Linked DNA regions of Arabidopsis thaliana. The protein of the gene in region 2 interacts with the protein of the main gene of each other region in a pairwise test. Each region holds a gene or a part of one and is shown on either strand. Other genes may lie near its edges. The genes, in order: ATCTH and LRL2.

Region 1 (4,649 bases), on a different chromosome or scaffold from region 2:
TTTGGCCAAAGATTCAAATCCATTGATATTCAGAGACAATAGTCTATATGGATTTATTAGATATAGTCTATATGGACTTATTAGATGATATTAACATTCATAGAGAAAACAACAAATTAGGATACGTTTTCTTTCTAATGAGAAAGTGAATGTACGAATGGTTGTTGGGAGGCTATTGTGTCTCGTAGATATTTTAAATAATTTGAATGTTTACTAATATAGAATGTGTATTCAATTATAACTATTTAAATTATTTTATTGTTGGTTTAGACGCATTCTTAAACTTTCACATCATTCTCTCGTGACTATTATAATAGTTATCGTGCTCGATCAATCATCTCGTGACTATTATAATTTTATCAATAGTTTATGCATAAGAGAACTGATAACGATCATACTTCTTTTTGTCATTATGATAGCTTATGATTAATCATTGTTTATCCATACTTGACGCTTGTAAGTGAAACATATGTTTAAATTTTCAGGCTTAATTTAATAGCCACGAACCAAAAATTATCTTATAATAAAAGTTTGGTGCGATTTAAGAAGATTTGTCCCCAAAGCCCTATCTGAAAGAGGTCAAATTGGATTATTAAATTCAACATATTAATCAATTTGATATTTGTTTAATGGTCTGATTAGTGACAATTATAAGTCTAATATTGCGAATCTTTTGCAGTGAGTATTCCACGTGATATAGATAAGTTTCCCTTAATGGATAACCTTTGCATCAAACAATTAGAAAACAAATGGAAGAGTATCAATCAAGTAGATCTCGAAGCAGTGGACCCTAACACGATACTGGAACATGGACCAAACCTTAAAATATCGTCCAAATTGCTTATTTTCTGGAAGGTTACAAGTGCACAACACTCTAATAATATATGCCCCGCATAACAATTTTTAAAACTATTTCATCTTAGACCTCGGATATTTTGAAGGAAGCACATTTTCTTGAAAATCACTAGGTGACTTGTGTTTCTTTCTTTGGAGCATGTCAATTTACTCCCATCAGCTGGAGAGCCAAAAGTTAAAATTAATGTTCGAAATTTATTTCATAAAAGCTACGTACGTTGCATCCTTCCATGATCTAGAAAAAATGGGGGACAATAACCAAATTTATTCACTCTTGTCAGGTCATGGGGAGTAGTCTACGACCTTGAAAGTCACGTGACAAGTAATATATACTGTACCGTCCAAATATTTTCTTACTGTAATGTCTTATGTTTCATATCGCTAGACCCTTAATATTAGTGTGGACTAATTCATATAATTGCAAATAAAATAGTATGATTCTACGATTCTTCAAAATGATCTAATAGTTACAGTCTGGTCAAAATGATCTAAATCTTTATAAACAAATAACAGCTACGGAATAATTAACACAATTTTTGGTGATAAACTTTGAGTTATGATAGAAATTTTTTTTTTTTCAATTTTTAATGTGTATCTTAATTTCTTCAATTAATGTATCCCTATGTTTTATGTGACTATATAACTTTTGGTTAGTGATACTCCAAAAATGTTGTTTTAGGTTTTGACACACATATTAATAATTTGTTTTATTTTTTACTTTACAAAATTTCTTATTGGTTAAAACATAAATCACTGCAAATAAAACTTTAATTTTGTTTGTAGTCAAAATTAGCTTTTAAAAATGTAAATTGATATTTATTCTAATTATTTTTTTAATGTTCTGACAATTAATTTAAAACGGAAAGCGTAATAAAGTAGATGTTGGGGCTGATTGGTAACGGCTGTTACTTTTGAACTCTAAATATTTCGGATGTTACGACTTTGACTGTAAAAATTTTGGTTGTAAAAATTTTGACGATAGAAACTTTAACTGTTAAAGTCTGATTGGTACAAAAAAATCACAATTATTTTTATTATTATTTAATATTTTTTATAAATATTATTTATGCTAAAAAATCAATTTATTTGGTAAAATAGTAACTAAAATAAATTTATTTTAAAAAAATACAAAATTCATTTTACAAATTCACTATTTTAAATATTTAAATTGGATCTGAAAAGAACAGAAAAAATAAAATTCGAATTAATCAATCGATTTTTTAATGATAAAATATAAATAAATTTGAAAAGAGTTTTGAAATTTTATGGATAAAGAAAAAATATTTTTATTTTGTTTTATTATTCTCTTTTAAAGTTAAAGACTTTAGGAAAAAAACAAAAGAAAAAAAGTAAATGGAGAGAAAAAAGCTTTTAAAACTTTAAAAATTAATAAAGTTTTAAAAGTGTGATTGATTAAAAAATAAATTTGAAAATTTTTAAATATTTTTAAAGCTTTGAAAACATTTTTTTTTTTTTTGGGGGGACAAATATGAAGAAAAAAAAAAAAAAAAAAAGACGAACATGAAGGGGAAAAAAACAAAAGACGAACAAAAATTGGAGATTTTTTCTTACACGTGTCATCATCTGCAGATTTGCGCTTATTAATTGTTTACCGTACGGTATTGTGGATAGGGTCAAGATTTTCATAACTTTACCGTAGTTAATATTTGACCCAACCATGGTTAAAATAAAGCAGTTTATATCACAGACACACACCTCTCTCTCTTCTAGACTCACTAAACAAAAATGATGATCGGCGAAAATAAAAACCGGCCACATCCAACGATCCATATCCCTCAATGGGATCAAATCAACGATCCAACGGCCACAATCTCTTCACCATTCTCTTCCGTCAACCTTAACAGCGTTAACGACTACCCACACTCTCCGTCACCGTATCTCGACTCCTTCGCTTCTCTCTTCCGTTACCTCCCGTCAAACGAGTTAACAAACGATTCAGACTCATCAAGTGGCGACGAGTCATCACCACTCACCGACTCATTCTCCTCCGACGAGTTTCGCATCTACGAGTTCAAAATCCGGCGATGCGCTCGAGGTCGATCTCATGATTGGACGGAGTGTCCGTTCGCACATCCCGGAGAAAAAGCTCGACGACGTGATCCGAGAAAGTTTCATTACTCCGGCACCGCTTGTCCTGAGTTTCGTAAAGGAAGTTGTAGAAGAGGTGATTCGTGTGAGTTCTCTCATGGAGTTTTCGAGTGTTGGCTCCATCCTTCTCGTTACCGTACTCAGCCGTGTAAAGACGGAACTAGCTGCCGGAGAAGAATCTGTTTCTTCGCTCATACGACGGAGCAGTTACGTGTATTACCTTGTTCGTTAGATCCAGATCTTGGATTCTTCTCAGGATTAGCTACTTCTCCGACTTCGATTCTTGTTTCTCCTTCGTTTTCACCACCGTCGGAATCTCCGCCGCTTTCTCCGAGTACCGGTGAACTTATTGCGTCGATGAGGAAAATGCAATTGAACGGAGGTGGTTGTTCGTGGAGTTCTCCGATGAGATCTGCAGTTAGGTTACCTTTTTCGTCGTCTCTGCGTCCGATTCAGGCGGCAACGTGGCCGAGGATAAGAGAGTTTGAGATCGAAGAAGCTCCGGCGATGGAATTTGTGGAATCTGGGAAAGAGCTGAGAGCGGAGATGTATGCAAGACTCAGTAGAGAGAACTCACTCGGTTGAGTCGACTTGGATCGAGTCTTTGATGACGTGGCGACTCGATCTGATTTTGTGAATATTTTAGAGATTTTTAAGGTGTTGTGGATAAATGACGTGGCGGGTCGATCTTAGTGACGGTACAATCGGACGATGAAGAAAAAAGCGTTAAGAGTAACAAAAAAAGGAAGAATTTGTAAAGAGATGATAATGAGAGAATTTGAGAGCTATTCTTCTGGCTTTTTTCTCTGCAGTTTTTTTTATTGTTTTCGTTATTTTCTTGTTTTTATTTTGGTTTTCGGCTTTATTTTGTTTGTTGTTTATTAATGTTATATCATTTTGTAATTAGTTCTCAAATGTATTTGGATAACATCTTAGTTTGAGACTTTAGAAAAGAACATTTCATTTGTTGTTTCCTTCTTATCGATTTCGTTGTTATAATAGTAAGAGGATATAAATATTTTTTGTTGGCCTGTTCTTTTTCCAAACGCTGCGATCATATCCAGCGACCAAAAAAACAGTTGCTTAACACACAATTACGTTGAAGTCTGTAGAAAGTTATGTGAAGAGGAGTCGCTCGATTTTAAAAACAGCGACCTATAAGGCATATACACGTGTCGCCAAAAAATAACAGCAACTTAACATTTTCACTAAGGACGCCGCCGGCGTCCATATTGAACGACTGTTTTTGTATCTCCGTTATAATTTTTGCTTTTCGTCGGAGTCCCTATTGCTGTCACAGCGATTAATAAACGAACAAGCCCAACAATTAATCAGAGAAAATAGTCTCGAGAAAATAACTCTCTTGCATCATATCTCTAATGAACATCAAATCTGCCTACAAATTCTATTTTTAAGTAAACATATTCCTTTTGACAAAAAAAAAAAACTATTTGGCTATTTCCAATGGTAGACTAGATCCACTCTGAAAATAGACTAATGACTAATGAATACTCATAATTTGGATAAAATTTTCATTTTCAGAATGATTTTCAAATTTAAATATGTTTTCAGTAATACACGAACAAATCTATATGTTTTAGGTATACATTGGGCATTTAATCAATACTAATATGGTTATCCAGTTAATTGAAATTTAAAAATACAACAATAATGTATTAAATTAA
Region 2 (5,334 bases):
GTGGTGCGGAGTTAGTAGCCACCCACTCCTTTAGTCAAATTGTGTCCCAGACTATTGTACTTGTAAGCCTAATACTTCCAAACTTCGCCGTAATTTATTTCCCACATGCTTTTGGCCCAAAATAAATTCATTTTTTGTACTTGAAGTCAAAACTCAAACCTCATGCCAAAGCAATAAAAAGAAGAGACTCTACAACGAAATGATATATTATATTTTCCTCTGTTTCAATTCAGACTATTTTTTTTCGATCGTGGTAGAAAACATTCTGACGGTTTGAACATGTAAACGTTTGAGGTCGTTGGTATATATGGAAATGGTTTATATCTTATATGTTTTCTCGGTCCTTGCTGTTTATTTTTGTGCTTATAAGATAAATTAAGATCATGTTATTTCGTTTATAGTAGTAGGTCATAGTAGAGGTATACCATACAAATTCACTCTACAAAACTCTTAACCACCTAAAATGATCCTGACTAGGTGTTCTAAACGTTAGATGCTACTCTAAGCCCCTGCTGCATATATAGTGATTTTCTTGAACACTACTAGGAAGATTTATATGAGATCTTACCGCTGACCACATTGGCGATTGACAATAAATTTCTTCAGTATGTGAGTATATAAAACGGTGAAATTAAGCCTGCTTAAGTGTTACATTCCTGTGTTGTGTAGATTTAGAAACTTAAGCATAACGAGTTTTAAACAAACTCTTTGGCCTAAATGATCATCATTGACGACATTTGTTAGACCAGACCGGTTCTGTGATAGAAAATTTAAGGATATAACTTTATAAACCAAAAAAAAAAAAACATGATAACATGAGTGTGCTTATGGGTGGTTTGTAGTAGGTAAAGACAGAAAACCAAAGTGTACGCAAATACGGTGTCGTATCCGAAAACACGACCTTATTCTTTCTAAACTTTGACCAAAACCACCTATCCCACTTGTCTTTGTCTTCTAAACTTTTTTCTCTCTTTCCCACCCAAAAAAGGGAAAATGAAATGGACAAATGGCCGTTATCACGGCTTGGAAACGGAGGGAGCGTCTTTAACGGTGACCAACGATGAGCCATTACCGTTAGCAACTATTGTAGTGGATAGGTTAGGAGACAAAGGAACGCCGGTATCTTTAACGAAGGGGCTACGAGAAGGACACGTGGCGGTGGAGATGGTGGTGGCTAACGAGATGGGCATGAGGCAAAGACCTTTGCCTTGTAGATATTGCATGGCTGATCCCATGTCCTCTTCCATTAGCTTTGCAACTTGGTGCTCCGTCATCTTCGCCTCGCCGGAGGAGGAGGTGTTTTCGTGGGATCCACCGGCATCCTGAAAATGTTCAATAAAATTAAAAAGAAAACAAGAAAAGCAAAACCCTAAAGCTATGATGATGTTGAAATGGGAGGTTTTGGTATTTGTTGGAGAGAAAGTAGGCACGCGTGCCCTGTCCTTGTTTTGTTTTTTTTACTATTTTTTGGAAAACTTTTTCATTTGTTTTTAGAAAGTCGAAAACAAAACTACTTTTTAATTAGTATTATTCCCTAACTAAAACCTTTTCAATAATTTACATCTCTTTTTAATTAGTTTAAAAAATAAAATCTCATTCTATATAGTGATCACGTCATCCTATCATCCCTTTTAAGAGAGAAGGAATTGAAATTATTACCTCAGAGATTTGAGAAGAAGCAGAAGCAGCACCGCCCAGTCTACTCATGCTTAGTACCTGCATACATAAATTTGCCAAATATTATAATTAAGCAAAAGAAGAGGTAGATATACACTAACACTATGTTTTAACAAACGCAAAAGATAAATAATTTACAAGATAAAAGGGAAAGGGAGCATATGGAATTTTAGTTGCAGAGGCCCATATTCGATTTCTTATTCTAATGTCAACTCAAAGGTAAAGAAGCTTCCACTCTTATAACAAAAACAAATTTAAAATTCTCATATCTTATAAAATAATTCGAGAGAGAGAGAGAGAGAGATTCACCTTGACTTGGAGCTGTAAGAACTTGACATAATCGATAATCTCATCGAGCATTGATGCTTTGTCTGTCTGTTAATTATTATTTTTAACAATAAAAAAAACCTTGTTAGCAATTCTGCATCTGTTTATTAAGTATTATTATCAATTAAATTTTAGAATTAATTAGCTAATCAGTGTTTAATCATTTGACTGCATAAAAGTCCAAATCTCTAGATAACCTACTAAACTAGTAGCAATTTGTGGTCCAAGACTAAAATACATCAGTGTAACTCATATACTTAACACATTATTCATTTTGAGATATATACTATTAAAGAAATGTAAAATACAAATTGGATTATTTGAATCTACTCTTTTAATTATATCAACTTTGATGATCGAAATTTAGACTAATGAAGATAATTAAAATTTACCTTGTTACCATTAGGGACAAGTTCTTGAAGAGATTTCATTCTTTCCGCTATCCTCTCTCTCCGTAACTGTTCCATAATTTCAAAATATTTCAATAATCACCTTAATCATCTAAATAACTTTATACGTTTTTCTCGGTAACTGAAAAGCGAATAATGAGGAAAAGTTAAATAAAAAAATCGAACCCGTTCGGCGATACTGTGAGGATCAGTGGCTTGACCTCTCCTAGCTCGGACTTTAGGCTTTGTCTGAGGTTGCGCCGTTGCACCACCGGTGGTGGCTGACGCCGTCGCCTGCGACTGCGTTTGCGTTTGACCTCCCGATCCCTAAAATATATATCAGAAAACATTAAATTAAGACTTAACAAAAGAACATGTAATGAATGTTTTCTCTTTTGTAGTAATTTGCAAAATGAGAGAGAAAAAGTGGATTATCAGTTATACTTGAGGGAGGTGGAAAGGGAGAGATCCGGTGGAGAAGCCATTGAAGAGAGCGTCATTAGGATGGTTATGTGACAAAGGAATCATAGTGATCTGGTTTCTTGAATCGGCGTCGTGGTGGTGGAATCCAGTGACGGGGGCACAATCGGAAGTTGGTGGAGGAGTGTCGTCGAGAACGGATGAGGGCCAAGGAGTGGAGGAGAAGATGTGGTGGAGGAAATCATCGTGGTCGAATGTTGCAGGAGATTGAAGATGTGGAGAAGGAGATGATGAAGGAGTTAGAAGAGACGAGGAGTTCATGGCTTCTGTTTTTTTTTTTTTTGGTGGGGAGTGAGAATGAAAATGAATGTTGTTGAAATGTCTTTTGAGGTTTAAGGCTTTATGGTGTTTAAAAGAGGGATGGAGATTGTAATATTTGAGATTTGAAGGGTTTGACTTTGACATGTTAAATACGTTTACCAAATTTACCATTTTTTTTATCATCCTTGCAAATTAATTATTTCGTGTTATTTTCATAATTTCTTGATTTTTTTAATCACTAAAAGAATTCGATCACTGAAGTCATGATTTCTTCAATTTTATAATCCTTTGTTGATAATATACTTTTCACAATTTTGTAGTAACTACAAAAAGTAAGTGAAACATATATTTCTAAAAATATCATAGTCGATCGAATGACAGGCTTAAAGTAATAAAACTAACTTAAAATTCGGTTGTACTAAAAAAAAAAAAAAAAAAAAAAAATTCGGTTGTACTAACTTCACTCAAATGATTTACGTATGTTTAATTATCTTTTTTTTTTTATTTAAGACAGAATGTGGTTCTAATACCGTATATTATTAAATTTCTATATATATAACATAGGTTTTTCTATTAATCATTTTTGAAAACTCATGTTTAAGATAATTGTATAAGATTTTCATTCGGTAACATTAAAATTGGTTTATTTGAATGCTGAATAAAATTCTTTGGATTTATGTTAAGGATGCCAACTACAAAAATAAAATAAAATACAAATCTCTATTGTTGATCTTTTTTATTAAAATCAGTCGGAGTTTTAAACTTGTCCCGGCAACTACGTACCACGAGATAAATATTTGCTAGTCCAAAAATGCAATAGTCTACAAGATAACACCAGAGCCAACACTTTTTCTTGTGACAACTATTTTAGACATATAATATTTAGACATGCAGTATAAATGCATACAATTATACTCTATTCATTTGGGTACATTCATTCATTCATCAACGGTTCATGATAATGTTCTCTTCATATATTACTGTTTACAATTTGTCCCCAAGATTACAAACATGCTATCCCTTTAGACGATACTCGTGTTCGATAAGAATAAGATCACTTTTTATAGATTATTCTTGTTTTGTTTTCTGATTAATATGATACCGATCGATGAAATTGTTGTTTTAACCGATCTGATTAACATTTGGGAAAGAGGATCCTCTCAAACGAGAACATAACATAACAGAACATCGTCATCATCATCATGTCATGTTACCATGTATTTTTTATACTTGTTAAATATTTTTTGGTCTAATAAATTCATCATTTACCTTAAAAATTCTTTTTTACCATCGTATACAGTTTTTCAGCTGTTTGATAGTATTTGATTAAGATTAATATTAAATTGACAAAGATAAGTAAAGAACATTATTATGCAATATGCATGATTAAGCACATGGGACATTCTGAGTTTTGCACAAACTCACAAGAGGTAGAGATCGGCTTTAATACACTTCCCATTTATTAATTACAAATGTTGGTAAGCATTGATGTACTACACAACAGAAAGAGAGATCTATCATCTCATGTATTAGTATTATCAAGAGAATGCAATAATTATTTTTGTTTTTACTTAATAATCATAATGTATACCAAAATAATTAACTAAGGGGGTGTAAAATAAGTTACGAATGATAATTTAAATTCCATATAGAAAAAATAAACAGATAGTAAAGACAAAAATGCTACTATGTTAAATAAACTATTGGTCCCATCTAGTATACTGATACATTAGTTTTATTTCATATTATCAGTAGTTTTTTCTATTGTTTATATAAAACAATACGTTTACAATAGGAAGGCAGGAAAATAAACCATATGGTGCACAACCATTGTAGACTCAATCCTGACAAAACCCAATAAATTTGAGGAACTCCCTCAAAAATTACGGCTTTGTTCAAATTGAAAAACTGGCTCTTACGATCTTAGTTTGGTACACAATCACGTCTGATTTCCCAAGTTCTACTTATTCACCTATAATGAACTATAAATATAATCTGTAAATATCAAAAGGTGGGCTTAACTAGGCCTTGGGAAAATATTGAATTATTTAACCTTGTATGAATCTGACAAACTCTGATTAAAGTCTTGGTTCTTACTCTATTAGTCTAATACAAATAAATAAACATATCTTATTTCCTTAAATGTAATTTCATTCTCTTAAATTATACTAAAAAAACTCTACTTGAGAAACATGAAAGC

Evidence for each region.
Region 1: the proteins of LRL2 (region 2) and ATCTH interact in a two-hybrid assay, tested with the Arabidopsis thaliana proteins (one large-scale study listed by BioGRID).

The regions. Positions count from the first base shown.
Region 1 is NC_003071.7:11,039,216-11,043,864, forward strand, and holds ATCTH (Zinc finger C-x8-C-x5-C-x3-H type family protein), read left to right. Parts: upstream 1-2,115; 5' UTR 2,116-2,258; intron 2,259-2,350; 5' UTR 2,351-2,601; coding exon 2,602-3,549; 3' UTR 3,550-4,041; downstream 4,042-4,649.
Region 2 is NC_003075.7:15,078,473-15,083,806, forward strand, and holds LRL2 (LJRHL1-like 2), read right to left. Parts: upstream 3,304-5,334; 5' UTR 3,279-3,303; coding exon 2,838-3,278; intron 2,721-2,837; coding exon 2,580-2,720; intron 2,463-2,579; coding exon 2,397-2,462; intron 2,053-2,396; coding exon 1,987-2,052; intron 1,717-1,986; coding exon 1,660-1,716; intron 1,323-1,659; coding exon 1,017-1,322; 3' UTR 646-1,016; downstream 1-645. UniProt on the Arabidopsis thaliana protein: Transcription factor that regulates the development of root hairs. Transcription factor that regulates the development of sperm cells.